2 linked regions of the Elephas maximus indicus genome follow. Each later gene encodes a partner of the first gene's protein in a complex. Links are inferred from orthologs where the notes say so. Each region holds a gene or a part of one and is shown on either strand. Other genes may lie near its edges.

Evidence for each region.
Region 2: the proteins of RNASEH2B (region 1) and RNASEH2C are in contact, whole or in part, in a crystal structure (PDB 3PUF), measured with the Homo sapiens proteins. The link is inferred for Elephas maximus indicus from reciprocal best matches to the Homo sapiens genes RNASEH2B and RNASEH2C. Residues at the interface, in NP_078846.2 of Homo sapiens: Arg14, Gln15, His16, Val17, Phe18, Leu19, Val20, Ser21, Glu22, Leu24, Leu35, Met36, Phe37, Val38, Lys39, Leu52, Glu62, Lys64, Phe66, Glu68, His70, His71, Ser72, Trp73, Phe74, Ile75, Asn76, Gln77, Ser78, Val79; in NP_115569.2 of Homo sapiens: Ile9, His12, Arg13, Val14, His15, Leu16, Ser18, Ala27, Thr28, Leu29, His30, Leu31, Leu32, Pro33, Cys34, Glu35, Val36, Ala37, Val38, Asp39, Gly40, Pro41, Ala42, Pro43, Val44, Gly45, Phe48, Phe63, Val75, Pro77.

The regions. Positions count from the first base shown.
Region 1 is NC_064832.1:27,074,262-27,090,491, reverse strand, and holds the start of RNASEH2B (ribonuclease H2 subunit B), read left to right. Parts: upstream 1-8,344; 5' UTR 8,345-8,793; coding exon 8,794-8,857; intron 8,858-16,230. UniProt on the Homo sapiens protein: Non catalytic subunit of RNase H2, an endonuclease that specifically degrades the RNA of RNA:DNA hybrids. Participates in DNA replication, possibly by mediating the removal of lagging-strand Okazaki fragment RNA primers during DNA replication.
Region 2 is NC_064825.1:128,862,319-128,878,291, reverse strand, and holds RNASEH2C (ribonuclease H2 subunit C), read left to right. Parts: upstream 1-8,008; 5' UTR 8,009-8,064; coding exon 8,065-8,236; intron 8,237-8,419; coding exon 8,420-8,610; intron 8,611-8,688; coding exon 8,689-8,808; intron 8,809-9,046; coding exon 9,047-9,073; 3' UTR 9,074-9,503; downstream 9,504-15,973. Other genes in the region: histone acetyltransferase KAT5, read right to left, coding at 9,661-9,795, 9,887-9,968, 10,103-10,262, 12,316-12,409, 12,486-12,626, 13,842-13,931, 14,013-14,261, 14,557-14,631 and 5 more.

The sequences.
Region 1 (16,230 bases):
GCTTCCAGCATGACAGCAAGATGCAGGCCACTACAGTACAACAAACTGACAACTGGGTGTGTGTATGCACAGAAATGGGTGAACTTAGTGTCAATACACTGCAGCCAAAGAGCACCACTGACATGCATGGCATTTACACACGTGTCATTGAACAAGTCGGTTTATGACTCTCGGCAGGAGGGAGAACACACACCCCCGGGAAAATCATGGAGTGTCTCAGAATCAGGAAGTTAGACAGAACCTATTATAGGGTTTGGGCTTTGGTTGGATGAGCTGGGGGAGGGTCTAGGGTTCACTCTAGATTGGATGCTGCCAGAAAACGGGGGCAATTTTATGGTTGGACATCTCACTGACTCTTATCTGTAGGGAGGGGGGACGAGAATGAGGATAAAGCTGTAATTGGTAAAGAAGCACTAGTCCCTTATTTTGGCCAAGAGAGGGATGTTTGGTACTTTGTGGGTGGCACAGCAACCTTGTTTCTGTGCTTAGGCAAAAGAGTCCTTGCCTTGTCTCGTTTATCCTAAGTCTCAGAGTAGCCTTGTCTGGGGTTGGTGGCCTGTGAGACTGTTTGCGTCTAATGGGAGGGTAACATGGTCTAGCCGAGAACCAGGCCAGCTTCTGAATGTCAGGGGCTGCACTTCTTCCTTTCTCACTCCTGGCAGTCATTCTCATTGTACAACGGGCAGATCTCAAAGGTATGTACCACGCTGCCCCTTTTACAACGGTACAATGTAACACCACCTCGGCTTGAACAAGAGGGTGAACAGAAGAGCAATTAATTCCTCCCCCGCCCCGAAACAACAATTCAGCACCACTCCTCATTGGTCCCTTCTAAACTCTTGGCCCTCTTCTCCTCCTTCCTTGAGGACTGTGTTGTCACTGTATGAGCATTTGGCAACAACCCTCCCTCCAGATATAAGTCATAAGAAATGTAGATTTTCATATTTATTTCGTTTTGAAAGAAGCCTTCTCATACATTTTTAGTAATTCGTAAGAGAAATCCATAGTCGCGGTTCAAGCTCCCTCTTGCTCTGGTCGCCTTAACTAAGCATGACTAAAGGGCATTCACTCTGAACTGGGTTTGCCGTTTTGTTTTCCTGCCAGAAAATTAACACTTGTTGCTTCCGCATTTAAATGTGTCTCTGAATCTCTATTCAGAAGTGTTAAGGTTGTGGCTACCTTCTTATTTTTGGAGAATGACTTGCTTGTCTCTTTGCATGGCAGCTTGACTAACTAAGTAATGTAAAATCAAATTTATGAAAGGTATTATGATATACTAGAAGCAGCCAATTCATTCTTGTTTATAAATTATGAAACACCATAAGCTGCTGACTGTTACCATGACTACCTATCTCACCACATAAACATTTGTTCAAAAAATGTCTGTTGCATGTGCTCTGTGCCCATACAATGTAGCCTTAGACACTGGGCAGTGAGAGGAAGGGGAGGGGAAAGTCCAGTCTCTGGAGTCCCACAGCCTTGGTTGGAACTGCTTGCTGTCTCTCAACTTCATGTTCTCTCTCTGTAACATGTGGGTTAGCATGCTAAAACTTCCCCTTGGGGCTCTTGGGGAGGTCTCAGGGTGGCACGAGTGGCTTATGCTTGACTACGAACATAAAGGTTGGCAGGTAGAACCCATCCAACAATGCCACGGAAGAAATGCCTGGCAATCTGATGCTGAAAGGGCACAGCCAAGAAAACTGTACGGAGCAGAGTTCAATTCTGCACACGTGGGATCGCCACGAATTGGAATTGAGTCCTTGGCAATGGGTGGGGCTTTTGGAGGACTAAGAGATAAGTCAAGTTCAGTGCTTAGTGCGGTGCCTGGCAGTTAGCACTCAGCAAGGGAGAACCTTTGTTATTTTTTGAGGGTAAAGCGGTGAATTACTAGATGCGGCCGTTCTCTCCGGGAACTCACAGCCTGCTAGTGGAGCCTGTGGAGCAATCTGACTCCACTACACAGTGAGGTAAAAATGAAGGTTGGGGGCAACTCACTCACTGGGGGTGGGGCGGGGCACCAGGAGTCACGGAGAGGAGTGCCATGGAAGACGCCTTGTCGAAGTCAGACCTGATGGATGAGGAGAAATTGGGCAGGTGGTGGTGGACAGTGGAGGCAAAGGGGCAGAGATGAAGCCAATGGAGAACAGAGTGGTCTGGGCATTGGAAACACCATGTCCAATGCTGGACATGACCCAGGGCAGAACTGCACGCTCCTTCCGGTGGTGGAGTATGGATGGGGCAGAAATTGTGGCTGGAGGGGCAAGAGAGGACAGATCTCCAAGGGCCACATGTGCAAAGCCTAGTTTCTTGGACTTTATCCTGAGACAATAAGGACCTACGGTCAGTCTCCACACCAACTGCTGGTCCCCTTTTTAAGAAGGTACTTAAATAATTTTTTTTTTAAAATGGGATAAAGGAATTTGTTTAGAGGTGTTTGTGGCAGCGTTTTTAAAAAAAAGTTTTATTGTGGTAAAAATACATATAACAAAACATTTGCCAATTCAACATTTTTTACAGGTACAAGTCAGCAACACTGACTGCATTCATCATGTTGTGCGTCCATCACCACTGTTTCCAGATTGTTCCGCCACCATTAACAGGAACTGAGTGTCCCCTGAGCGTCCCCCTCCCTTCTGTCCCTGGTGATCGCTAATGAACTTTGTCTCTATGAATTTGCCTATTCCAGATATTTCATAATAAGGATCATACAATATTTGTCCTTTGGTGACTGATTTATTTTACTGAGCATAATGTTTGCAAGGTTCATCCATGGTGGCATGTATCAGGACTTCATTTCTCTTTATGGCTGAGTAATATTCCATTGTATGGATACGCCACATTTTCGTTTATTCCATTCATCTGTTGATACAGTTTTAGACTGTTTTCACCTTTTGATTATTGTGAATAGGGCTGCAATGAACATTGGTGTACAAGTGTGGCCCCACTTAAAAAAAAATTGTCCTTGAACCTAAGGGATAAGGAGTTAACTATACTCTCATCCATAGGGCATAACGACCCCTGTAAATGTGAGCCCTGGCTCCTCTCTTTATTTTCCCTGCACCTTGCCTCTACCCTTTCTCCTCCTTTTTAAATATATCCATTTTTTATGTGTTTAAGCCAAAAACAAAACAAAACAAAAACAAACAAACCCACTGCCAACAGATTCTGACTCATAGCGACCTGGCCTTAAATATGTATGTATCTTTACAAAATGTTGTTGCTAGATGCCAGCAAGCTGCTTCTGACTCATACTGACCCTCTGTACAACAGAACAAAACATTGCCCAGTCCTGCACCAGCCTCAAAATCGTTTTTATGTTTGAGTCTATTGTTACAACCACTGTGTCAATCCATCTTGTTTTTCTCTTACCCACTACCTAACCAAGAATGATCTCCTTCTTCAGGTACAGGTCTATCCAGATAACATGTCCAAAGTATGTGACATGAAATCTTGACATTCTTGCTTCCAAGGAGCACTTTGGCTGTGCTTCTTACAAGACAGGCTTGTTTGTTCTTCTGGTAGTCCACGGTATATTCAATATTCTTCCCCAATACCATAATTCAAAGGCATCAATTCTTCCTTGGTCTTCCTTATCCACTGTCCAGCTTTCACAAGCATATGAGGCTATTGAAAATACCACAGCTTGGGTCAGATTCACCTTAACCCTCAAAGTGACAACTTTGCTTTTCAACACTTTAAAGAGATCTTTTGCAGCACATTTGCCCAATGCAGTAAGTCATTTGATTTCTTGACTGCTGCTTCTGCGAGCATAGATAGTAGATTCAAGTAAAATGAAATCCTTGACAACCTCGGTCTTTTCTCTGTTTATCAGGATGTTGCTTATTGGTCCAGTTGTGAGGATTTTTGTTTTATGTTGAGATGTAATCCATATTGAAGGCTGTATTCTTTTAACCTTCATCAGTAAGTGGTTCAAGTCCTCTTCACCTTCAGCAAGCAAGGTTGAGTCATCTGCATATTGCAGGTTGTTAATGAGTCTTCCTCCAATCCTAATGCTGTGTTCTTCTTCATAGAGTCCAGCTTCTTGGGTTATTTGCTCAGCATACAGGTTGAATATTATGATGAAAAGATACAACCCTGACACACACCTTTCCTGATTTTTAACCACACAGTATCCCCTTTTTCTGTTCGAACGACTGCTTCTTGGTCTATGTTCCGGTTCCACATGAGCACAATTAAGTGTTCTGGAATTCCCATTCTTCCCAATGTTATCCTTAATTTGTAATAACCCACACAGTTGAATGTCTTTGCATAGTCAATAAAACACAGGTAAACATTTTTCCGGTATTCTTTGTTTTCAGTCAAGATCCATCTGACATCAGCAATGCTATCCTTTGTTCCATGTCCTCTTCTGAATCTGGCTTGAATTTCTGGGTTTTCCCTGACGATGTATTCCTGCAACCATTTTGAATTATTTTCAGCAAAATTTTACTTATGTGTGATATTAACGACATTGTTCAATAATTTCTGTATTCTGTTGGATCACCTTTCTTTGGAATAAGCACAAATATGGATCTCTTCCAGTTGGTTGGCCAGGTAGCTGCCTTCCAAATTTCTCAGCATAGACCAGTAAGTACCTCCAGTGACGCATTCGTTTGTTGAAACATCTCAATTGCTGTTCTGTCAATTCCTGGAGCCTTGTTTTTCACCAATGTCTTCAGTATAGTTTGGACTTCTTTCTTCAGTGGTTCTTGGTCATATGCTAGCTCCCGAAATGGCTGAATATCAGCCAGTTCTTTTTGGTACAGTGACTCTGTGTATTCCGGCCATCTTCTTTTGATGCTTCCTGCGTCATTCAGTATTTTGCCCATATAACCCTTCAATATTGCAACTCAAGGCTTGAGTACGTTCTTCCCTTTTGGTTTTCTAACTCCAGGTCTTCACACTTCTCATTATACTTTACTGTCTTCTCAAGCCACCCTTTGAAATCTGTTCAGCTCTTTTCCTCCTTTCGTCATTTCTTCCTTTCACTTCAGCTACTCTACGTTCAAGAGCAAGTTTCAGAGTCTCTTCTGACATCCATTTTGACCTTTTCTTTCTTTCTTTTTGATGACTGTCATGGATTGAATTGTGTTCCCCAAAACGTCTGTCCACTTGGTTGGGCCATGATTCTGAGTAGTGTGTCACTATCTGCCATTTTGCCACCTGATGTGATTTCCCTTTGTGTTGTAAATCCTATCACTATGATGTAAGGAGATGGATTAGTGGCAGTTATATTGATGAGATCTACAAGATTAGATAGTATATTAAGGCAATCTCTTTTGAGATATAAAAAAGAGAAGCGAGCAGAGGGACATGGGGACCTCATATCACCAAGAAAACCGTGCTAGGAGCAAGACTGTGTGTGTCCTTTGGAGCTGAGGTTCCTGTATGGAGGAGCTCCTAGGCCAAGACAGATGACCTAAGCCTTCCTCCAGAGCTGACAGAGAAAGCCTTCCCCTGGAGCTGATGCCCCGAATTTGGATTTGTAGCCTACTAGACTCTGAGAGAATAAATTTCTCTTTGTAAAGCCATCCACTTGTGGTATTTCTGTTTTAGAAGCACTAGACGACAAAGGTAATGACTTTTTGCTTTCTTCAGGTATGATGTCCTTGAAGTCATCACACAGCTTGTCTGGTCTTCAGTCATTAGTGTTCAATGCATCAAACCTATTCTTGAGATAGTCTCCAAATTTAGGTGGGATATACCCAAGGTTGTATTTTGACTCTCGCAGACTTGTTATAATTTTCTTCAGCTTCAGTTTGAACTTGTATATAAGCAATTGATGGTGTGTTCCACAGTCAGTCCCTGGCCTTATTCTGATGGATGATATTGAACTTTTCCATAGTCTCCTTCCACAGATGTAGTCCATTTGATTCCCGTATACTCCATCTGGAAACCCTGGTGGCGTACTGGTTAAGTGTCTACGGCTGCCAACCAAAAGGTCAGCAGTTCAAATCCACCAGGCACTCCTTGAAGACTTTATGGGGTGGTTTTACTGTGTCCTATAGTGTCGCTATGAGTTGGAATCGACTTGACGGCAATTGGTTTGGTTTTGGTTTTATATTCCATCCAGTGAGGTCACATATATAGTCACCATTTGTGTTGCTGAAAAAGGTATTTGCAATGAATGAGTCATTGGTCTTGCAATCTCTAATGTCCTTTCTATCACTGACATATTTTCCAACTACAGATCCTTCTTTGTCTCCAACTTTCACATTCTAATCACCAGTAATTATCAAAGTATCTTGATTGCCTGTTTGATCAATTTCAGACTGCAGAAGTTGGTAAAAGTCTTCAATTTCTTTATCTTTGGCATTAGTGCTTGGTGCGTAAAAATGAAAATCTTATTAACTGTAGGCATATGGATATTATCCTATCACTCACAGCGTTGTACTTCAGGATACGTACTGAAATGTTCTTTCCGATGATGAATGAGATGCCATTCCTCTTCAACTTGTCATTCCCAGCATAGTAGACCACGTGATTGTCCGATTCAAAATGGCCATACCAGTCCATCTCAGCTCACAAATGCCCAGGATATTGATGTTTATGCATTCCATTTCATTTTTGACCATTCCCAATTTCCACGTTCCGATTATTAATGCATGCTTGCAGGTGTTTCTTCTCATTTTGAGTTGTGCCACATGAGCATATGAAGGTCCTGAAAGCTTTACACCACGTCGTTAAGGTCGACTCCACTCTGAGAGTGCAGCTCTCCCCGAGTTGTATTTTCAGTGGCTTCTAACCTGAGGGGCTCATCTTCCGGCACTATATCAGGCAATGTTCTACTGCTATTCATAAGGTTTTCACTAACAAATTTTTTCAGTAGACTGCCTTTCTTCCTAGTCTGTCTTAGTCTGGAAGCTCCGCTGAAACCCATACACCATTGGTGACTCTGCTGGCATTTTAAATATCGGTGGTATAGCTTCCAGTATCACAGCAACACACAAGCCACCGCAGCACAACAAACTGACAGACTAGTTTTGGGTAAAATATGTAGTATCGTATTACGTGTGTTTGTAATTGACTGACATGGTAGTCTGCTATAAATTTCTCCTGTGTCTTGCTTTTTTCCTATCAATACAAAGGATCAACGTTGCTATATATACATCTAGTTCATTGCTTGGAACTGCTGTATAGTCCATTTACATTATACATTGCAGCATTATTTATAAGTTTGTATTAAACTAAACATTGCACACTAGGGAATGATTAAGTGACCGTGGTAAATTAGCAGTGTGAAATAGCATGCCTTTACTAATGACAGTTCTGAATATCATGGGAAACATGCTTACGATGTTAAGCGGAAAAAGCAGAAAAAATTGTGTTTATGCTATGAAAATAACCACATAAAAATATACATTCACACAGCCAAGGGCTGGAAAAAATCAGAGAAAAATGAAAACAGCTACGTGTGTGAGAGCAAGGGAACTGTGGGTGTGTCTGGGAGTTTGGCCTACATGATAGCTTTTCAGACAGTATAATCTCGAGGGAGAACAGGCAGATCAGGGCAACACCAACCTGCTGCCTACCCTGCCCCAGAACTGGCCTCTGCCACCCCTGCAGTCAACTTTAGCATCTGTCTCATTCCACTGGAAGTAGGAGCGAAGTTAATTATCCGTTCAGAAGGCAGAATGAGATCTCTCTCTCCAAATTTAACTCTCTTCATGATAGAACAAAGCAAAGTGCAGGAGAGTTGAACATACTATTCTTCCCTTTGCGCAAAAGTAAAACACATAAGTTTGTATTTGCAGGGGAAGAATTCTGGTAGACAAAGTGTTTACAGTAATTATCGCTGAAGAGGGGGACTGGGGATCTGAAGTAGCAGGGAGACTTACTTTTTAAGAAAGAAAGAAAAAATATATATATATATATTTTAAATTATGTACAAGGAATTACCCTTTTCAATTAAAAATTTTATTTTTAAAAGCTTAAATCTCAAAATCCTAACGTTTGAAACATTACTCTTAAAATCCTTTAACTTTTAACTCATCACTCAATCTTCCAAAATAATAAACAAATTCATTCAGACTTTCAGGGCTGCTTACATGTTTTATGAGTCACAGCGCAAACAATATTCTACTATTAACTTTAAAGCAGAATGCAACTGATAATTACTGAGATCCTAGTTACCACGTCTGCGTTCACTAGGACTCAGATGTTACGACCACTGTCCTAACATGGACTCTTCTCCTGGCTTTCCCCCTCGGTGTATAAGGACAGCATTCGTCCCCCAGGCCCACACCCTGGGATCCGGGCCTTGCTCCCCGTGACGCCCTCCCACTTTGGGTCACTCGGCGTCCCCAAGAACCTCGCGGGTGGAGCTGTAGGGCGTTGTGACCGAGCGTCTGCAGCCAGGCCTGGGCCCAGGCGACCCCGCCCGCGCCCGTCGCCGCCGCCGCGTCCCCGGGTCACCGCCCCGCGCGGCCAGCACCTACCACTGGCCGAGTATCGGAGGGGAGAGATCGCGGCCCCTTCCTCCTGCCGGCTGGTAGTGCGTCGGTACTACGGCCGCCTCGGCCTGGCGCTAAACTTAAAAATGACGCCAGGGAAGTGCTGAGCACCAGCAGCCGACCAGCCCCGGAAACGAAACCAAATTCGTACCGCGGGCCGCTTCCTAGCTCTCCCAGACCCTTGGCGCGCCGCGCTACCCGGAATAGACCCTTCTCCCGCCATTTTCGGCTTGTTCTCAGTCGGGACCCGCGCGCAGCCGGCCCCGCGCTCCAAGAGCTGAGGCTCGCGGCTCCGGGGCTCGCCCCGCGTGGTGCTCGTGTCCCGGGATCGGCGGGCAGCATGGCCGCCGCCGTGGACTCTGGGGACGGGCTTCACGCCCGGCAGTACGTGTTCCTGCTTCCAGGTAAACACGCCCGCCGGGAAGGGAACGCCGAGCCCGGCCTCGGGCCGCACGCCGCTGGGCCGGGAACGCGCGGAGCGGCCAGCGGGGCCGCGCACGACCTCGCGGGCCCCAACCTGTGGCAGGCGCAACACCCCCTCTGCGCCAGGCCCGGGACCCGCTGCCCCTCCGAGCGCCGACCCACGGCCCTCAGCGCTCGGCCCACACCCCCTCCGCTCCGCGTGCCGACCCCGCCGCTCTGCGCTCGGCCCCGGTCTCGCCGCCCTTCCGCGCGCGGCCCTCGGTGTCTCAGTGCTCGGTACGGCCCCGCTTCTCCTCCGTGAGCCAACCTTTGACTCCCCCCGGCCCCCCTCCCCTCCGCGCACCGGCCACGGCCCGGCTGGCCCCCATGACGCCGCCCCGACCGCCCTCGGGCCCTCAGTGTTCGGCTCCCACCCGCTGCCCCACCGCGCGCCGACCCCGGCCCCTTTGCGCTCGGCCCATGCGCAGCGGCCGAGGCTCTGTGAGACTGGGTTGTATCCCATGTTACAGCTGGATGCCGTTACCAAAGCCCAAAGCAGGACACGGACCGAGTGTGTCCCTAGCTCGGATCCTCGTGGGTCCCGTGGGCGAGAGGGATCGGCTCTGGCCTGCGGAGGGCGCGGGGGTAGGGTGGGGCGAAGCCTAGGGCGCACTGCAGGGCCTGGGGTTTTGCGATTTGGGTGTAACTTGAAGTGCCCCACTGGGCATTTGGCTTAGGTGCCGACTGATCCAGTAGGCCCGGAGTCGCCTTGGAAGATAGCGCTGTTAGCACGGTCCATGCCCTCTGACAAGCGTTGGGTAGCGAGGCAGTAGAAATTCCCTTGGGAGTAAGGGAAGCCGGATCCTGGTAGTGGTTAGAACAAGGGAGGTTCAAAGCGATTCAGGCCGTTTACCACTGAGGCTGGAGCTAGGCTCTTCCTTGAGGAAGATAACCAGCCCTCCAAGACAGCTGGCTTGGGAGGATGAGCTACCAGTGACGGACGACCAAACGAGAAGGGACCATTAAGTGCCAAATAAAAGGGGTGCAAACACTGTAAAAAGGTTTGGCCTTTTGATACGATAATAGGATTGTGGCATAACACTGGAAAAAAGGAAAATCCGTTGTTCACTGTTAATTTTGAGATTGAGCTCAGCAAATGCAGGGAGTTTTTGCGGTAAATACACACTGGTGATGATTAAAAAAAAAACACCCGTTGCCGTCCAGTCAACCCTATAGGACGGAGTAGAATTGCCCCCATAGAGTTTCCAAGGAGCGCCTGGTGGATTCGAAGTGCCGACCTTTTGTTTAGCGACCGCAGCTCTTAATCACTATGCCACCAGGGTTTCTGGTGATGATATAGTTGTCCAGTAGTCTAGATTTGTATGGTAAAAAAAAAAAAAAATAGTGCTATCGCGTCGTTTCCGACTCATAGCGAGGATACTGAAAATTGTTACATGGCAGTCTGTGAAGAATTTTGTGTGTGTGTACGTTTGATTTTTCCTCCTTTTATAAAGAGTTAAGTGTGCAGTTCGGTCATCTTTTACATATGTACACAGCCCTGTAACCATCCCAGGTGGAGACGCAGAATTTTTCCAGCAGGCTCTTCATGCCCCCTCCCTGAATATCTCTAGTAACCTCTATGCTGACTTCCCTTGCCAGAGATTAGGCTTGCCTGTTTCTATCAGTATGTACCCGTGTGTCTGGCTTCTTCAGTTCCCATGCCTGTGACGTTCATCCAGGTGTGTCGCGGTGGTTTTTTTTTTTTTTTTTTTTTATTGGGTACATTGCACTGATGAATATCCATAGTATTTATCTCTTCTACTATAGATGAACATTTGGATTGTTTTCAGTTTGTAACTATTATGAATTACATTTCAAAGAATACTTTTTTAGGAGGCTTTAGATAGACATGGCACTCATTTCTGTAGAGTTTATAATCAGGGGTGGAGTTGCTGGGTCTTAGGTATTCATATGTTTAGTTTTAGTTGTTTGTTGTTGTGTGCCATTGAGTCTATTCCAACTCTTAATGACCCCATGTGACAGAGTAGACCCACCCCATAGGGTTTCCTAGGCTGTAATCTTTACTGGAGCAGATAGCCAGGTCTTTTCTTCCCCAGTGTGGCTGGTGGGTTTGAACCCCTGACCTTTCGGTTGGCAGCTGAGCGCTTAACTGTTGTGCCACAGTTTTCCAATTTACACTCCCACTAGCAGTGTTTTTTTGAGCAGCATATGAGACTTTCTATTCCTTCAGAGCCTCACCAGAGATGTTTGTAGAGTAAAATAGTTACTGAGAAGGTCAGGGTTTTGGCTTCAGTCTAGTGAAGGACTTGCTTTACATGGAGAGTCCTCCTTCGCACTTCCGTCACAGCAATGCGATTTTAAGGATGGGACTCTAATCTTTCAGAATCAAGTGCGTTGTTAATATACAGACACACAAAAAAGCTGAGGGTAATTTGAGTTTTTAATTTTGTTATATTTTTCTTAATATTGACATCATTCTTAAAAGTGTGTTTGTATCTTCATTGTATTAAACACTAAAACCCTCGAAAGATTTAAGTATTGATTGTATTCCTGAAAATTGTAGGCTTAGTATATCTACTGCTGGGCTGTGAGAACGGTTTCGGCCCAGTTCCTGTTCTAAGCTGTACTGTAACCGTTTAACTCTCTGGGGGTGGCTGAGCAGCTGTTAGTGAATTGATAATAAAGAACTGTGTGGTCATCCAGGCAGGTTCTGTAACAGCCCAAACTGGAGCATCCTTAGCCTCTAGCTCTTCCATCCGGCCTCCAGTGCCACCTGCAGGCTCTGAGGATAAGTCCACAAACACACTTTGATAGCTGCTGCTCTGGATCAGGAAACCCCGGTGGTGTAGCGGTTAAGTGCTATGGCTGCTAACCAAAGGGCTGGCAGTTCAAATCCGCCAGGTGCTCCTTGGAAACTCTATGGGGCAGTTCTACTCTGTCCTATAGGGTCGCTATGAGTCGGAATTGACTCGACAGCCCTGGGTTTGTTTTTTTTTTTGGTTTGGCTCTGGATCAGTGGCTCAAAAACTTGAAGGCATCAGAATCACCTGGGGAGCTGGACCCCGCACCCAGAGTTTCTGATTTCAGTAGGTTGGGGTGGCCCAAGAATGTGCATTTCTACCAAGTCGCCAGAGGATGCTGCTGCAGGTCCGGGGACCCCACTGGGAGCCTCAGCGGTGAGGAGTAGCAGCTGGGAGCTGGGATTGGGAACAGGAATGGCCAGCCTCGGGCTTAGCTCTCTCTGTGCTGGGCCAGGGTTTACGTGGTGAAGGGGGTACACGGAAGCACAGGGAATGAGGCCGTCTTCACAGATGTGTTTGCTGTTTTTTCCAGTAGGTGGGAAGTCATTCCAGCTAGTTGTCACTGAAGAGGAGGAGAATAGACCCTTGGCAGAGAGCACCATAGCTACCATGAAGTTGCAGCCTTACTAAAGAAAACAAAGTTTAATATAAAAATTTTCAAAACTGTTCGGTGGAGGCAGTCTGTGTTCAGTTTTAAAAAACTTCCGGGATCTGAAGAGCTTACTCTATAGGCTGAAAAGTGAGCACATTAACCAACAGGCCAACAGAGCTTTAAGAGATTTATCTGTGAAACAAATGTAAAATCACCTAACCTTGAGATGATACTTTTTTCCAACATTTAATTCACATTATTGAGTTGCTTACCGTAAGCAGAAAGGGGAATCCCTGGGTGGTGCACGCTATTAATAAACTAAGCTGCTGATCAAAAGATTGGAGGTTGGAGTCCACCCATAGGTGTCTTGGAAGAAAGGCCTAGCTATATACTTCTGAAAAATCAAACACTGAAAATCTTGTGAAACACAGTTCTATTCTGATAACGTGTAGGGTTGCCATGGGGCAGAATCAACTCGATAGCAACTGGAACTAGAACCATGAGTACTGTGTTCTATCTTGGAAGATATGTTTAAAAATAAGATTTAGGTCTCACCCTCTAGTTTTCATTTTGTCTGGAGAAGCCAAATATTGCAGATTAAAAAAAGCTGCAACTTGGAAGGGACACTTGTGAGGTATTCTGACTTGGGACGTTGATTTTCATAGGCAGGTGGAGACAGACTGCTTCCCATTTCAGCAAAGTAAGCATTCCTTGTAGTTTCAGATGGTGTTAAATGTTTTCTCCAAAATGCCCTGGAAATGATAGCCTATTTGAAGTTACAGTTATTATAAGAGGCCATTAACATCTTTGGAATGTGGTGGAAGTTTCCATTCCTCTTTGCTTTTCTAATAATAAATGTTTAAGAAATATTTTTTACATGTTTCTGTAGTCCAAGTTTTGTACGCTCATCAGTTTTATTAAGTTGAGGCGGCCCCAGGCGTGAAAGGTGAGCTAGGAACACATTCGCAGAGTGTAGGATGTAAGACTCCGTTTATTGCTTTTGCCTGGGTAATACTGATTACCTGCCCAGCTCCATGGAAATGGTAAAACATTTGGAAACCTTAATGTTAAGTGAGAAAAAAAGGAGAACAGAAATGATCTCAGGACCATAAAGAAACTCATTTGGGTCCACCTAGGTTGGTCAAAGCGTCCATTAAATTAGATCAAAGTGGCCTTTAGGTTGCATCCTCAACTGCAGTAAAATTATTCCCCTTTATTTAATGAAAATACACATTAGGAGGTATTTTAGGAAGGGCTGTGTTTTTTATCTTTTTTCCTGCACCTAGCAGGAGTCCCTGGGTGGTGCAGTTAAGTACTTGACTGCTAGCTAAAAAGGTTGGCAGTTCAAACCCACCCGAGAGATACCCTCAGAAGATAGGCCTGGTGACTGGTTTCCGAAAGGTTAAAGCCTTGAAAACCTTATGGAGTGGTCCTACTTTATACATGTGGGTTTGCCCTAAGTGGGGATTTATGGGACTCACTGGCAACCAATAACAACGCCATAAGTAAGGGCCAGTTTTTTGGGGGTAGAGGATGAGTTCCTTTTGGGGAGATGAGAATCCCAGGCCTGTCTACCTTAGACAGGGCTGTCCATTTCCGATACAGTAGCAAGCTTTTTATGTGAAACGTAATGATAATCACAAATAATACTAATATCAGATTTGTTTCTCCAAATGGAGTGCAAAACTGGAGGTGAAATATTGTATGAATGGATCCTTTAGAACTATGTTCTAATTAAAGGATTAGAAAAGGAATCAAATTTAAAAGGGGAAACTAATTTTCCTATTTAATGTTGGAGAAAATTTATATTAATGTTATTTCTGATTATAGTCTTGTGGATATACCTTTTTATGAGCCCAAAAGAAATGCTTCTAGTTTGGGGGGGAAAAAAAAAAGCGTATGGCGAAGGAAGAACCACTATAGATCTATTTTCATCACCATAAAAAAATCTTTTCCCTCCCTTCCCTAAGGGCATGTCGTTAATCTCAGAAGACAAATTTCAGGAGATATTTTTGTTCCTTGTGAAAGCTCTTTGTGTGTACGTGTGTTGGTGTTTGGGAACAGCCTTTGTAGGCTGAAAGTTCTCTTCCTTCCAGAAGAGTGTATTCTGAAGGGACAAAGCAGCACTTAGCACTAGGGAACCTGGCCAATGCAAGTGCTGATCAGAGACAACCACTGACTACTTGTGCTCAGCTTCTTGGAAAATATTTCATTTGCTGAGTCGTGTCCTGCGAGCAGTCAGCAATGTGGGAGTCTCAGCTTTCCAGCAGGGAGCTTGCTTAACATTTTCCACACGGATCTGCGTCTGGTCTGGCTTTGTCTTTATGAAAACGTTTTTTGGTGGGAAGCTGCCTGGCCTTTCTCACATGGCCCCTGGATCTGCTCCCCTAGCTATGTGAGCACATTCTGAAGTGGATGGACTTAATCAGTTGCCAGATGGTGTAGTCAGACAGCTTCCACAGCCTGAACTTTTGTCCTACCGGTAATTGTTCCTAAAGATCTGGGACATTTATAAGTAAGAACTGGTGACTCCTACATATTTGTCCTTCAGGGCAGAAAAGAAATTCATCAAAGGAAAGTAAGCAGTGTTCATAATTTTCTATTTAAACAGCAGAATAGGCACTGCATGGGTTCTCTCATTGTCTTTAACCATATAGTAAGACACAAGCCACCCAATCAGTGTTCCCTAAAGCTTGGCTATAGATTTATGCTATTCATTTAGATTTTATAAGTCTAATCATTTATGGTAACTCTGTGTCCTTGGGCAAATTGCTTACTCATTGTAAAGCTCAACTTTCTCATCTCTACAGTGGGAAGAACAGTACTGGTCTCACAGGGTTGCTGTCTGCTGGTTCAAGTTACATTTAAGTTCCCTGTTGTATACCAGAGGCGCTATGGTGGTGCAGTGGTTAAAGCACTCAGCTGCTAACTGAATGGTCAACAGTTGGAGCCCACCAGCCACCCCTCAGGGGGAAAGATGTGGTAGCCTGCTTCCATAAAGATTCAGCCTTGGAGACACTATGAGGCAGTTCTACTCTGCCCCATAGGGTTGCTATGAGTTGGAATTGACTAGATGGCAACAGGTTTTTGGTTTGGTTTTACCCCCAAGCTCTTAGCTCCAGGCCTGGGACAGAGTATATATTCAATAAATATTTATTTAAAGAATAAATGTCTCACATTCCATTTCTTCCCACAGTGTCTTTGCTAACACTGTCCTTTTTCCTGCCCCTCCACTTCTATCCAGATTCTTCTCTGTCTTCAAGACTAGGTTTGGCTTTAGTTTCCAAGAAGCCAAGCCATTCCTATTTGCTTCAGCCCAGATTCTCTCTCTTTGAACTCCTGTGACTTTGTATCTGCCTTGTACCCTGTCTGCTCTTTTCCACTTTTTCCACTAAAAATCAAACCAAATCAAACTTGTCTTTGTTGAATTGATCCTGACTCCTGGCAATCCCACATGTTACAGAGTAGAACTACTTGATAGGGTTTTCTTGGCCATAATCTTCATGGGAGCAGATCACCAGGGCTTTCTTTCACAGCACTGTTGGTTGGGTTTGAACTGCCAACCTTTAGGTTAGTAGACAAGCATAAACCACTTGCACCACCCAGCTCATGTCACCTCCTCCAGGAAGCCTCTCCTCCTTCCAGGCCTTCTCCCTGTTAGTACACAGGCTAGTATGTATCTGGTACTCTGTAGAGACCCCTCTTAGAACACCAAAATGTTTTATCACAATTAATCAGTTCATTATAATTTTAATGCAAGCATGGATTGAACATAGTAATGCAGAAAAATATAAAAAGATTTATCCATAATCCTCTTACCTAGGAACAACAATTTTGGAGCTATTTCTTTCCCAGCTTTTTGTGATGTGTGTATCAAAAAATGAATTCCATTATTCTTAAATGTTTTCTCATTTTTCTATTTCTGCCTTATTTCATTATGTATTATTATTACTTATTTGCT
Region 2 (15,973 bases), on another chromosome or scaffold:
GTTGTGTAGCTAATGTTTTGATTTTGTCACTTCTTTTTTGATGTATGCATCTATTGCTATAAACTGACCTTTGAGCACTGCCTTTGCTGTGTCCCAGAGGTTTTGGTATGATGTGTTTTCATTCTTGTTTGATTCTAGGGAAGTTTTTATTCCATCTTTGATTTCTTCTATTACACAGTGGTTTTTAAGCAAGGTGTTATTATTTTCCATGTATTTGATCTTTTTTCCTTTCTCTTCCTGTTAGTAATTTCCACTTTTACGGCATTGTGTCCAGAGAAGATGCTTTGTATTATTTCACTGTTTTGAATTTTGTTGAAGGTTGCTTTGTGCCTAAGATGTGGTCTATTTTGGAGAACATCCCATGGGTATTGGAAAAGAGTGTGTACTTTGTTGCTGCTGGGTGACGTGTTCTATATATGTCTGTGAGGTCAAGTTGGTTGCTTGCAGCCTTTAGATCTTCTGTATCTTTGCTGAATTTCTTTCTAGATGTTCTGTCCTTTACCGAGAGTGTTGTGTTGAAGACTCATACTATTATTGTGGAACTGTCAATTCCTCTTTTCGGTGCTGCTAGAGTATATGTATTGTGGAGCCCTGTCACTGGGTGTGTAGGTATTTATTATGGTTATGTCCTCATAGTGGGTTGTCCCTTTAATCATTATATAATGTCCTTCCTTGTCTATTATGGTGGATTTTGTTTTAAAGTTTATTTTATCTGAGATTAGTATTGCCATTCTCACACTTCCTTGGTCGCTGTTTGCTTGATACTTTTTTCCATCCTTTGATTTTTTTATATATTTATGTCTTTGTTTCTAAGGTTAGTTAGTAATTCTTTAAACTTTCTCTGTTCAGATTACTGTGTGCTGTCTCTCCTGATTGGACCCTGACTGATACAACAGGCAATCAGTAGGAGTTAAAGGATACCACTAAAAATGAATAAACCAGATGACAGAAGATAAAATAATAACATGGAACTAAGGTTTTTTTTTTTTTTTTTCAAGAGATAGAAATACGAGGAACAAAAATACAAACCCTCCTAAATACCACTTGTTGGGGGAATGGTCTGCCTCTATGCCTCCCATCCAGCCTGCCTAAATAAAGGCCTTGGGCCCAGAACACTCTCCGATAACGAGGCTGGGAATCGGGTCACTTTCACTCTCCCAGTTCCTTCTCATTAGAGAAACTTGCCCCCTGTTCTGGGCACACAGTAACTTTGTCTCTTGCACATGCACAGGCACCATACAGCACCTGGCCAACCCACTTCTATACCTGTTCCCAGTAGGAAGGGAGAAGGGTCTCTCCTGCTGTGGCAAGAGAGGGGGAATGTGCCAGACTGAAGGAGTTGGCCTTGAGGGGTGGACTGAAGGGGAAACAGGATTTGAGAGGCTGAATATCAGTGCCCTCATGTGGTCCACTAGTTCACTTCTATTTGCTGAATTATTCTTATGTAAGCCCCTGGCCTGTAGCCACTATTGTCTACCTCTAATACAAAACTGCCCTCCCACTGTGGGGTGCGAAGATCTGCCAAGGACTTGGACTTGTATGTAAGTCTCCATAATAAACTCCCTCGCTACCATGCTGGAGTTGCCTGCCTCTTTCTTTGGTCTCTCGGCACCCTCCATTTTTGAAGGCAAGTTTCAGGATACTGGTCCATGCCTGAAAACCACTTTTTAAAATATAAAGACAAAAAATACACATCTTCATAGAGAAATAAACATCAAATATAACAAAATTGACATAATTATGAAATATTGTTACAGACTTGAGACCAAAAATATAAATTATATTGATAAATAAATAGGCCTATGTTATGGGTTGAATTGTGTCCCCCCCAAAATATGTGTTGTAAATCCTAACTCTGTCGTATAGGGTCGCTAGGAGTTGGAATGGACTTGGAATGGACTCGATGGCACTGGGTGGGTATGCCTGTGGTTATAACCTCATTTGGGAATGGATTGCCCTTGTTATGTTAATGAGACAGGATTAGTGTAGGGTATACCTTGAGTCAATCTCTTTTGAGATAAAAGAGATTAAATAAGAAATCTAGCAAGCAAAGATAGGGGGAGATTGATGCCAAGCCTCATGGAGATCTCCAAGGAACAAGGAAACAAGCTGAAGCGACAAGGACCTCCCTCCAAAGCCAACAGAGAGAGAGAAAGCCTTTCCCTAGAGCCAGCACTCTGAATTTGAACTTCTAGCCTCCTAAACTGTGAGAAAATAAATTTTTGTTTGTTAAAGCCACCCATTTATGGTTATTTCTGTCATAGCATCACCACATAACTAAGACAGTCTAACTCACTTATTTAAAGAAAAAGATTTTTAATTTGGCTAAAACAGCAAGACCCAACTATATGTTGTATACAAGAACACACCTAAAATAATGTGATTCAGAAAGGCTAAAAATAAAGTGGTGGATGAAGATATACCAGGCAGACGGAAACAATAAAAAAGCAAAGAAAGCGATCTTGATGTCAGAGAAAGTGGAATTCTGGCCACAAAGTATTTAAACACGACAAAGAAGGGTACTACTTAATGCTAAAAGTCCTAATTCACCACAAAGATATAATATTTATGAATATTTATGCACCAAATAACCCAGTAACCAATTTTGAAATTTTATAATGGCAAAATATGTATAACATAAATTTAGTCATTTTAACCATTTTAAGTGTACAATTCAGTGGCATTAATTATATTCACAATGCTATACAATCACCATTCTTTATTTCCAGAAGTTTTCATCATCCCAAACAGAAACTCTGTACCCAGTAAGCCATAACTCCCCATTGACTCCTTCCCCTAGCTCCTAGTTTAGCCATTAATTTACTTCCTGTCTCTATGCATTTGTTTATTCTAGATATTTCATATAAGTGGAATCATACATTTGTCCTTTTGTATCTGGTTTATTTCACTTAGCATAATGTTTCTAAAGTTCATCCATGTCATAACCTGCATCAGAACTTCATTTCTCTTTTTGGCTGAATAAGATTCCATTATATCTATACACCAGGTTTATAAATACAATGGAACATCGATTTGATTTATTCATTCATCTGTTGGTAGACATTTGGGTTGTTTCCACCTTTTAGCTACTGTGAATAATGCTGCAATGAACACTGTATCTGTTTGAGTAAAAAAACAATAAAACCAAACTCGTGGCTGTGAGTCAATTCTGGCTCATAGCAACCCTATAGGACAGAGTAAAACTGCTTGATAGGGTTTCCAAGGAGCAGCCGGTGGATTCGAATTGCCAATCTTTTTTTTTTTTTCCTCTCTCTTTTTTTTATGGTGCTTTAAGTGAAAAAAAAAAAAAAAAAAAAAATTTTAAGTGAAAGTTTACAATTCAAGTCAGTTTCTCATACCAAAACTTGTACACACATTGCCATGTGACCGCAGTTGCTCTCCCTATAACGTGACAGCACACTCCTCCCTCTCTACCCTGTATTTCCCATGTCCATTCAACCAGCTCCTGTCCCCCTCTGCCTTCTCATCTCGCCTCTGGACAGGAGCTGCCGGCATAGTCTCATGTGTCTACTTGAGCTAAGAAGCGCACTCCTCACTAGTATCATTTTATGTCTTATAGTCCAGTCTAATCTTTGAAGAGTTGGCTTCAGGAGTGATTTTAGTTTTGGGCTAAGACTGTCTCGGGGCCATGTCCTCTGGGGTCCCTCCAGTCTCAGACAGACCATTAAGTCTGGTCTTTTCACTAGAATTTGAGTTCTGCATCCCACTTTTCTCCTGCTCCATCAGGGATTCTCTGTTATGTTCTCTGTCAGGGCAGACATTGGTGGTAGCCAGGCACCACCTAGTTCTTCTGGTCTCAGGCTGATGAAGTCTCTGGTTTATGTGGCCCTTTCCGTCTCTTGGGCTCTTATTTTCCTTGTGTCTTTGTTGTTCTTCATTCTCCTTTGCTCCAGGTGAGTTGAGACCAATTGATGCATCTTAGATGGCCGCTTGCTAGCTTTTAAGACTCCAGACGCCACTCACCAAAGTGGGATGCAGAACATTTTCTTAATATAGTTTGTTATGCCAATTGACCTAGATGTCCCCAGAAACCATGGTCCCCAGATCCCTGCCCTGCTACTCTGTACCTCAAAGTGTTTGGTTGTATTCAGGAAACTTCTTAGCTTTTGGTTTAGTCCAGTTGTGCTGACTTCTGCTGTACTGTGTGTTGACTGACCTTCCCTTCACCTAAAATAATTCTTTCTACTATCTAATCAGCGAATATCCCTCTCCCTCCCTCCCCATCCTGTAACCATCAAAGAATGTTTTCTTCCGTGTTTAAACTTTTTCTTGAGTTCTTATAATAGTGGTCTCATACAATATTTGTCCTTTTGTGACTGACTAATTTCACTCAGCTTAGTGCCTTCTGGACTCATCCATGTTATGAGATGTTTCATGGATTCATCGTTGTTCTTTATCATTGCATAGTATTCCATTGCGTGAATATACCATAATTTGATTATCTATTCATCTGTTGATGAGCATCTTGTTTGTTTTCAACTTTTTGCTATTATAAACAGTGTTGCAATGAACATAGGTGTGCATATATCTATTCGTATGAGAGCTCTTATTTCTCTAGGATATATTCCAAGGAGTGGGATTGCTGGATCGTGTGCTAGCTCTGGAAACCCTGGTGGTGTAGTGGTTAAGTGCTACGGCTGCTAACCAAGAGGTCGACAGTTCAAATCCACCAGGTGCTCCTTGGAAACTCTATAGGGCAGTTCTACTCTGAGTCGGAATCGACTCGACAGCAGGGGATGGGTATGGTAGTTCTATTTCTAGCTTTTCAAGGAAGCACCAAATCAATTTCCAAAGTAGTTGTACCGTTTTACGTTCCTGCCAGCAGTGTGTAAGTGTTCCAGCTTCTCTACAACCTCTCCAACATTTATTATTTTGTGGTTTTTGGATTAATGCTAGCCTTGTTTGAACTGCCAACCTTTTGGTTAGCAGCCTGAGCTCTTAATCACTGAGTACCTGGGTCACAGCTTCCAGATTTACAATTTAATGACACTGATTGCAATGGTGATTGAAATGTGAAAGTTAGAAACAAAAAGAAGAATCAGTAGTGGAAAATATAGCCTTGGTGACAGAAAATACTCCAGAGAGCACATGATAGAATTCTGTAAGACCAATGACTTATTCATCGGATATATCTTTTTTCAACACACGTTGACAACTATACACATGGACCTCACCAGATGAATTACACAGTATTCAAATCAACTACATCTGTGGAAACAGATAAGGAGAAGCTCAATGTCATCAGTCAAGACAAAGCCAGGGGCTGACTATGAAACAAACCATCAATTGCTCATATTCAAGTTCAAAATGAAGCTGAAGAAAATCAAAACAAGTCTATGAGAGCCAAAGCATGACTTTGAATATATCCTACCTGAATTTAGAGACCATCTCGAGAACAGATTTGACACACTGAACACTAATGACTGAAGACCAGAAGAGCTGTGGAACAGCATCAAGGGCATCATACACGAAGAAAGTAAAAGGTCATTAAAAAGACAGGAAGGAAGGAAAAGGCCACAACGGGTGTCAGAAGAGACTCTGAATCATGCTCTTAAGCACCGAGTAGCTAAGTGAACAGGAGAAATGATGAAGTAAAAGAGATGAACAGAAAATTTCAAGGGGCAGCTTGAGACAAGGTAAAGTATAATAATGAAATGTGCAAAGACTTGGAGTTAGAAAACCAAAAGGGAAGAACATGGTTGGCATATTTCAAGCTGAAAAAAATGAAAATAAAATTCAAGCATAAAATACTTAGTAATGAATTTAGCCAAGAAAGAACACAACTTTTACACTGAAGCTGAAAAAAAATTAAGGAAAATATAAGTGAATGGAAAGACATTCCATGTTCACAAATTGGAAGACAATATTGTAAAGATGAAGATGTCAAAGTGATCCATGGATTCAACGCAATCCCTATCAAAATGCCAGAAATGGAAAAACCAATCCTAAAATTCAAGGGGCCCAGAAAATCCAAAACAATCTTGCAAAATTAGAGTGAAGTGGAGGACTCACACATCTTCATTTTAAATCTACAATTATCAAAACAGTGTAATACTGGCATAAGAATAAATATATAAACCCACGGGTTAGAATTGAGGCCCCAGAATTTAACCCTCACATCTACAGCCAATTGATTTTGACAAGGGTGCCAAGACCATTCAATGGGGAAAAAACCAATTTTTTCCACAAATGGTGCTGGGAAAACTGAGTATCCACATGCAAAAGAATGATGTTGGACCCTTACTTTACACCACATACAAAAATTTACTTAAAGTGGACCAAAGACCTAAATTTAAGAGCTAAAATTCTTAACCTACAGAATGAGAGAAAATACTTGTAAATCATATATCTGATAAAGGTTTATCAGATATGAGTTTATCTAAAATACATAAAGAACCCCTACAACTCAATAACAAAAAGAAAAACAACCCAATTTAAAAATGGGCGAAGGACTTAAATAGACCTTTCTATTTAAGATGTACAAGTGGCCAACCAACACATGAAAAGATGCTCAACATCATTTAGTCATTACGGAAATCCAAGCCAAAACCACAATGAGATACCACTTCACACCTACTAGAATGCTATAATAATAATAATAATAATAAAACATGGAAAATAATAAGCGTTGGGGAGGATGTGGAGGAACTGGAAAGCTCATCCATTGCTGGTGAATGTAAAATGGTATACCCACTATGGAAAACAGTTTGGTGCTTCCTCAAAAGCTAAACATAGAATTACTGTGTGACCCAGTACTTCCACTCCTAGGTGTGCAGCCAAAAGAATTGAAAGCAGGAACTCAAACATACTTGTATGCCAATGTTCATAGCAGAATTATTCACAACAGTCAAAAGGTGGAAACAGTCCAAGTGTCCATCAACAGATGAACGGATAAACAAAATGTAGTCTATCCATACAGTGGGATATCACTCAGCCATGAAAAGGAATGGAGTTCTGATATATGCTACAACATGGATGAACACTGAAAACATTATGCTATGTGAAATAAGTCAGATACAAAAAGACAAATATTCTGATTCCAAATATATGAAATTGTTGTTGTTAGGAAGACCCTCCACGAGATGGATTGATACAGTGGCTGCAACAATGGTTTCAAACATAGCAATGATTGTGAGGATGGCTCAGGACCAGGCAGTGTTTCATTCTATTGAACATAGGGTCGCTATGAGTCGGAGCCAACTTGATGGTACCTAATAACAAGTTGCCGGGCGTGACTCCTGTTGACCGTATGTATAACAGAACAAAACATTGTCCGGTGCTTCGCCATCTTCTTGATCATTGGTATGTCTGAGTCTATCGTTGCAGCTATTGTATAGGGTCTTACCAACCTGAGAGGGAGGGGCTCATCTTTAGAACTATATTGGACAATATTCTGTTGTGATTCATAACGTTTTCACTGACTGATTTTTCGAAATAGACTGCCAGGCCTTTCTTCCTAATCTGTCTCTTAGTCTGAAAGCTCCACTGAAATCAGTTCTACCATAGGGCAGATTTGAAATACTGATGGCAAAGCTTCCAGCATCATAGCAACTCACAAGGTACCACACAGTACAACAAACTGACAGACAATTGGTAGTAAGAAATATCTAAAATAGGCAAATTCACAGAGACAGAAAGTAAACTAGAGGATACCGTGGGCCCGTAGGAGGGAGAACCGGGAGTTACGGCTCAACGGGTATGAATTTCTATTTGGGGTGATAGAAAAACTGGAAATAGTGGTGATGATAGCACAACACTGTGAATGCAATTAATGCCACTGAATTGTACACTTAAAAATGGTTAAAATGGCAATTTTTCTGTCTATTTTACCACAATTTTTAAAATTAATTTTGGATTAAAAAAGACATTTAAAGAAAGCTGGGACTTTAACCAGCTGGGGGCGGGGCTTGCAGAGGAGTCTCGGAGAAGGACTACGCTGTCCATGGGGCTCTGCGCTGACTGTACCCGGCCTCCCGAGAGGCTCTGCGCGCTTTACGCGCCAGCTTTGGCCTCAGCCAGACACAGACTCGCGGCGACCGGAGGATGGAGAGCGGCGATGAGGAAGCCACCGAGAAGCACCGCATCCACCTGCGCCCTGCCACGCTGCGCGACGCTGCCCCCGTCACGCTGCACTTACTGCCCTGTGAGATCCTGGCTAACCGGCCCGCCCCCGTCGGGCGCTTCTTCACTCCGGCCATCCGCCAGCGGCCCGCAGGTCAGCGCTCGAGCCGGACTACGGCTCCCGGCAGCCCCCGCGCCCGCGCCGCGCGACCCTCGGCGAGCAGCGCCGCGAGGGCGCCTGGGGCTCGTAGTCCGCCCGGCGGTGGCGGGAGGGCCGCACTGGGCGCCCTGTGCCTGGGTTCTCGCCTGACCTAGGTCCTGCGACTCTTCCCTTCAGGGCTCGAGGTGTCGTTTCGGGGCCGCCTTCTGCGGGGCGAGAAGGTGATGGTGCCCCGTGGCCTCGCGGGATACGTGATGGTGATGGACGAGAAGGCAGAGGTGTTAGAAAGGAAATACGCATCGAGGGGTTCAAAGAACGACGACGAGAAAGAGCAGCAGGAGCGCCCGGAGCCAATGGAGCGGGACTTCGTGAGCAGAGGGTGTCGGGGCAGGAAGGGGGTGCGGGCGGAAGCGGCGCTTCCATTCTGAGCCGGGCCCCTCCCTTAGGACCGCTTTCTCAGGGCCACTGCCAGTTTTGCCAGCTTCCACCTGTGGGGCCTGGAGACCGTCCCCGGCCCGGACGCAAAAGTACGCGGGGCCTTGACCTGGCCCAGCCTCGCTGCAGCGGTGAGTGTAAGGACGGGCCCTTCTCCTTTAAAGTTTGATGCTGGGTTGGCCAGAAATTTGCCCCCAAGTGGATTTGGGGCTCTAGGGCCGGGGAGCACAATGGGGCAGGATTAGACTGGGTGAAGGGCTTCCCCACCACTCTTCTCTGGAGGCCTAGAAAGGGCTATCATTCTGAGCAGCTGGGCCTGTCTCAGGTATGTGGCCCCAGAAATCCAACAGCAGGTGACTCCTGTTACAGATTCACGCACAGGTGCCTGAAGACTGAGAACCAGAGCTTGGGACTGAAATCCACTGATCCCTGCACCCCACTGAACCAGCCCTGTACTTGAGAGCCACTGATCCCATCACCCCAATAAATGAGCTCTTCAAAGTGCCTGTGAGTCTGTGGCACCTTGGAGCCCTGAAGCCACCAAGACTGTCCCTAAGAACAAGAACCTTCTGGGGCTCTGGCCTATAGAAACAATTTATTGCGAGGGGAATAGGGGTGAGAGAGGCCAGAATTCTGCATACCCACCCACCCCCAACTCCTACTTTACAAAAGGAATCTTTACATCCAACCAGCCCTCTGTGCAGATCGCCCCTAGCCTGCCCCTCACTGTACACAGCTGCCAGGCTCCTTCCAGTCCCTGGTTTGGAGCAGGCCTGGGCCCGCAGCCAGCCAACCTTGGAGTTGGCCTGAGCCAAGCTCAGGCACTGGGCACCAGTGGCCCCTGCCAGGCCTGTCCTGTCCTTGTGGAGCAGTCCACAGCCCCGTCTCCCTTGTTGGGCCTCTTGGGGGCCTTAGTTGGGGAAGGCTGTGCTGTCAGCACCAGTCCTGCCTGCTCTGTTGACAATGCCGTGGACAGTGTCTGGTCACCACTTTCCCCGTTTGCTCCAGTCCTTGGGAGTGAAGTGCAGACACTTGGAGTCGATCCGAAGCAGCCGCTTGAGCATAGCCCGTTCGTGCCCATCCACGATGTCCTCTGACAGCGTGAGGATATACTGGCCCTGGGTAGGGGGAGGGGTCGGCAAGTCAGCGCCCCCCACCCCAGAGCTGCACCCCCTCCCAGGGACCTGTCTGCCCTGCCTGTCCCCCTACCTTGTAGTAGTTGATGAGGTTGAGGTACTGCAGGGTGGAGATGACATCCTCCTTCTTGATGCTAGTGATCTCACTGATCTCGCTGTGGGAGGGAAGAGGTCAGGTCCGCTGAGGGCCTTCCCCTCTGCCCCAGGACCCCAGGAGGAAGTGAGGGAGCTGGGGACAGAAAGGCCAGGCCATGCACCCCCTGGGTAGGTTGGGCTGGGCCAGGCTCACTTGATGGTGATCTGTGGCCTCTCCCCGCTCTCTGACTTCAGCCCCATCAGGATCTCCAGGATGGTCTGGGACCAGTAGCTTCGATAGGACAGGAGGCCAAGATCGGAGAGGGGCTTCTCAGGGGTCCCTGTTTTCCCTTCCACTTTGGAGAGTTCATAACCTAAAGCAATGGGGCAGGAGACGGTGGGTAAGGGTCACAGGCTAACGCAACCAACGTTGTAAAGCATGGATGGTGGAGGCCCACTCCCTGGTCAGTCCTGGCCCTGCCACTTAGTTTTGTGACCTTGGGTATGTGGCTTGTCTGCTCTGTGCCTGTTTTCCTCATAAAGGACTTACAACGGAACCTCTTTCATAGGACTGTCACATAATCAAAGGATGACATATGCCAAGTGCTGTCACCTGCTGACCTTTTCTGACCACTTCACCTGGATGTGCTGAGCACAGTGTGGGGGCACTGTGCATTGTAATGAGTAGCTAATACAAGGGGTGCTGGGGGGCTGCAGGAAGAATGGCTTATGGAAGGAATGGTGTCACCATTTTGTGATCCCAGACTCTCCGCTGTGTCTGGGCATGTGAGGAGAGAAGGGGGGCAGTGCTCCATCTCTAATCCAGGCCTGAGGATGCTTGAATTCTCTCAGATCAATCAGTTCACCCTGCCGTCACCTCAGAGGCTGACTAGGCTGTCCTGGGGACTGACAAGGTGGATCCAGAGAGCAGGCGCACCAAAGTGCTTGCCCAGCCAGAGGGAGGCCCTTCCTTGCAGCCAGGTGACTGCTTCCAAAGCGGCTCCTTCCTGCCCTCACATGTGGACAGCTGGGCACTGGAACTGTCCAAGGGGCAGCTGAAGCTGAACCCAGAGATGGCTATGGTAGGCAGTGGCAAGCAGATCTTGGGGAGTCCCTGCAGAGCTGAGTGGGTTCCCACACTTGGGCAAGGTGTTCAGTCTCCTGTCAGGACACTGGGATGTCCCCACTACCTCTGAAGAGCCACAACCAGCCTCACAGTGAACCTTTGTCCCTTCTGCTTTCCTGGTATCTTTATCAGCCAGGGGTATCCTCTTACCCAGTCTCCTGTGGCCTCCCCACCAGTTCAGACTGGCTGGTTGGAGAACGCACCAAAGAGGAGGCCTTTCAAATATACTCAGCTTTGTGGGGTCCATAATGCATGCATGGTCCTAACACATTGGCTGGTGGCCACACTTACCTCCTCAGCTACAACCGGCTCCTGGCCCCTCCCCAGCAAACACCCCCTGCCCTCTGAGCTGCCTGGAATGGTGCTTTGGGGGCCCTGCTGGGCAGGCCATCCTGACCACCACATCTTCTGTACACTTAGGTCTGAGCTCAGTGCTTAACCTGAGTTTAAGAGTCTGCTTGCTCTACCAGGCTAAACTTCCTGAAGATGACTTCATCCTGGCATCATGTGATCACTTAACATTTCTCAAATAGACTGTGACCTTGGTGAAGTGAAGTGAAGTCTCAGCCTATCAGCTAAAGCTCTGCCTGCCTCCCAGAATCAGAGGAGCTTGAAAAAAACAAAACAAGATTTCTGAAAAGTTGGCATTCAAATGGTTGAGTGCTGAGATGAATGGAGCCAGGGTAAGAGGCTGGAAATCAGAAGGGTCCTCGGAGTTGGGGGAGGGGAGGCACTGAAACATCCGTATGTGATGAGGCCCGTGGGGCCCTTCAGCTTTTAAAGATTTATCTGACCGAATACAAGGAGTTGGGGGCAAATTCATGCATGTTGGTGCTTACATCTGTTAGAAAAGTGAACAGTTTGAATACCTAGCATCTGCAAGGCTTTGGGGACACCTGGGGACGTTAACATAGGTCCTGGCCTAGAAACTTGTATCTCAGCACAGTACCAGATGGGTACCCGACAGTGGCCCCCACAACTTCTGCCCACGGCTGGGGCAGGAGATGAGTCAGATCAAGAAGTTGGGTGATGCTTAGAGCCTTGGCCAAGAACCAGTGGGGCAGAAGGATAAGCCTGCTCCAGACGAGCAGGCAGCCACCCCAAAAGGCGAGAACCTTGGCAGACCCCCATCTTTATTTCTGGCTAGCTCCCCTGCATAGCCAGGTCTGAGAATCACAGGCTGGTGTGTATGTGTGTGTCTGTGTGTGCACATGTGTGCGCGCGCCCTGGTGATGGGGGCACGGGCCCTGGGCCTGCCAGTGCGCGCCACCAGCCGCTGGAAAGCCAGCCCAAGTACTCACTGAACTCGATCAGCAGCTTGCCGTAGCCCCGGCGCTGGTAAGGAGGCAGGGTCAGGATGCAGGCCACGTTGTAGTCTTCGGTCGACTCCTTTTCCTGCAGAAGAGAGGCAGTGAGTGGGCGGGGGTGGGACCTGGCTCAGCAGGACAGGGGAAGCCTGAGGAGTGCCCACCTTGGAGAAGTAGCCCACGATGTGGAAGCCCTTGCTGTCATACTCCGTCATAACATAGAAGAGGAAGGGGTCTGTATCATAGTACAACGTCTTGTGGTCGAGGAAACACTTGGCCAAAAGACACAAGTTCTGGGAGTAACTCTGCAAAAGAAAAGACCTGTCACCCTCTGGACACCTGTCCTGGCTGTGGCCATTAATCCAGACCAGGCAGATGCTTATCTATTCATGCTGTACTAGCCCTGTGACAGGGCTCCACCACCTGGCTCCCCGGTGAGCTGGGCAGGATCACCCCTGCTCCCCACAGCTCTATGCTGGCCTGGCCGGGGGGGCCTCCACTGCCCTCTGTTTAACAAGTCAACAGACAGAGATGGGTTCCTATGAAGTCAGACTCTGGCCCGGGCACATGAGAGAAGCTGTGACCTCTGTTTGGATGGCATTTCGGGAATCTGGTTATCAAAAAGCAGAACAGCCTCCCACCCCCAGCCCATAGTCACACCTGGCAACAGAGCTGCCATCTACAATGCAAACAGGAAGTTCTGAAACTTAACAAAAAACAGCCTGAGAGGTGCCCCCGGCAAAATTACGAACCTTGCCTCCTCACACCTGTGCACAACTTCTATACTTTCAGGGGAAGTTTTTAACTACCTGCTGGGCCAACTCCACCCTAGCTACTACAGATCAGTGGTTAATGCCTCATCTTCCTCTCAGGCTGCCCCTCACACCAGCCTGAGCTCTCACCTGCTATTCAAGGTGCCTGCCTCTCCCTCACCATCCTGCAGACTCTGCAACGGTGGAGTCTCACTCAGCAGTCTCCAGATTACCCCCTTCTTCCCCACGGCCACAGAGCATAGAGGTCTGAAGCCCCAAACCTGCGGTGCCCCTGCTACCCCTACTGACCTTGTTTCCACCACCTAAACTCTGTCCCTTCTAAGAGCCTTGCACCTTCCTATCTTCCCTGCCTTTCAGCTTTTCACACACACCATCCTTGTACAGCAGGCCTGCCTTTCAGCATCTCACTGCTCAGAATCCTCTCACGTCAAAGATCACCACTGTGAAGCTTTGTGGACTACCTCCTTAGGGTCCTGGTAACCCACCCTTGGACTCATGACACTTGTCACTCTGGGATGTCACAGGCCATTGGCAGGACTTTCCCATGGGCCACGGGGTCTCAGCAGAGACTGTCTAGTTTCTGGTCATCCTAGTACATCCCAGCACTACTAGTACTCAATAAAAATGGGCTGAACCAACATGTTGGCCAGACTGGTGAGTGTTTTCCTAAGCAGGAAGAAACTGCTCAACTTCCTGTGTCCCAGGCCACCAGCTCCAAGGACACCCCACTGCTCCTCAGTTGCTGACCTTATTCTTGCGGCCATCAATCTCAAAAAAGGAGATGGTGCCCTTGCGGTAAATCTCGTTGCCTGGGGGGTGTCGCAGGTCGCACTTGGTCTGGGGAAGAAAGGAGGGTCAGAAGCAGGAGTGGGGGCAGGACGAGGTGCTGGGAGAGCAGCCTCCTGGGGCCCCTCATACCAAGTGACGCTGCAGACACTTGAGACTCCGGCCATACTTGAGGCAGAACTCGCAGAGATAGAGGACAGGCAACGTGGTGAGCTCTTGTGGGTACGGGGAGAAGTACCACGGCTTGAGGCGGTGCCGGCCCAGCTCAATGCACTCGATGTTTTTCATCCGGGTGACTATGTCGTCGTGACTCCGGTCGGACACCAGGCTACCAGTCATGCGTGGTGCCGATGGAATTCCATCTGAGCTGTCCTGGGAGTCCTGCCCAGGGCCAGTAGAAAACACCAGGTTACGAGAGATGACTCAAGCAGGACACTACAGCTTCCACAGCAACACTATAAAAAAGTACTATAATCCCACTTTCCAAACGAAGAAACTGAGACCCTGAAATCACCAAATGACTGGTCTGAAACATGCTCTACACCTGGCTGCAGATATCAGACACCACTGCCACCTAGCCCTCCCTTGTTTCTTTTTAAACTAGGCACTAAACTCCCCCTGCCCACATGCCCTCCCTTACCCCTAGCTTTCCTCTTCCTCTGCTCCCCAGACCCACCTCATCAGTGCCCAAACAATTTGATTTCCGCTTCCGTCCTGGCTGAGCGGCCACTGCCCTACGGGCTGATCCATTCTGCAAATGAAACAGTAGGAATAGAAGAGCCGAATGTGACATAACCTTAAAAGGGCTACCAAACGATAAAAGAGAGAAAAGGAAAAAGGGATAGTTTGGGGTACTCACCTGGGGAAAAACTGAGGCTGGGGCTGTCTCGCTGGGCACCGGAGTTGCTGGTGAAACCACCTCCACCTTCCGTTTCTGCAGAGAGAAACCAAGAAAGGTGGGTCAGAAGGTAGAGAACGTGGGACCTGAGAGTAAAGCAAGGTCCCTGGAATTGCTGAGGGTACCGTAGAGCGGTGATTGGGCTGCAGGCAGGAGCTGGAGGAGAGCGGCTGGTCGGGCTCGCCACCGGGGATGGCCTCCCGCTCCTTGGGCAGGTTGAAGCGGAGTGTGATCTGGACCGGGATTGGCAAGGTCTTCCCGCTGGCCTGGGCGGAGGCCGGCTGTAGAAATAGGTCCAGGGTCTTCCTCTGGGTTGCCATGGTGGTGGAATGGGGCAGGGGAGGAGGGGGCCCTCAGCACCAAGTGATCAAACCCCACCCTCTGCCCTCTCAAGGGCATAGAAATAGCCACTGGATTCTGGAAGCTATGACTGCAATGTGGCCCCGTCCTTTGCAGGCTGAAGCCAGGGTGAGAGGCTTACTGCCTCCTGCCCATCCAGGAGCCCCTGAGGCCAAGAGACAAGAGCAGTAGGAGGCAGGAGAGAAGAGGAGAAGCAGGTGACCTACTCACCACCTCTCTCTCTGGAGAGCCGGGGCGGGACCCAGGAAGCCCGTTCTTGGTGGGGGTCTTGGCCTCTTTCTTGGGAAACTGGATCTTCTTTAAGTCCAGCCGCTCGTGGGTCACCCATTCATCCAGACGTTTGTTGACTGCAGCAATGGGGATGGCTCAGGAAGGGATGCCAGAGGCTGCTCCCCAGCCCTACCCGCAGCCCCACCTCACCCGGTCCCAGAACTCACAGTCAATGTAGTGAACATAAAAAAGCTTCCGGCCACTGATGTCCTTCACGCTGAGGATCTCGGCCAGGGCTGCGGGAATAGCACAGGCAGGAGCCTTAGAGGGCCCGGCCACGAAGCTCCACCCTGCCACGACCTGAACTCCACCCCCAGCCCGGATCCCCTAGTCCCAGCACTTGGAAGCTCCCACCCAAGTCCCCTTTAGTCTCCAAATGGCACCCCTTCTCCAAGCCCCGCCCCGTCCATCTCAAGCAGCTACACGCCACGCCCCTCCTTCGGAGTGCCTGCGCCCCGCCCGCCCCAAGATTCCAGTGGCCCCTCCCCCTCCCGGGGGTTCGGTTGATCCGACCCGCCCCTCGCCCTCAGGTTGTTTAGCCCCGCCTCCCGACGTCACTCACGCC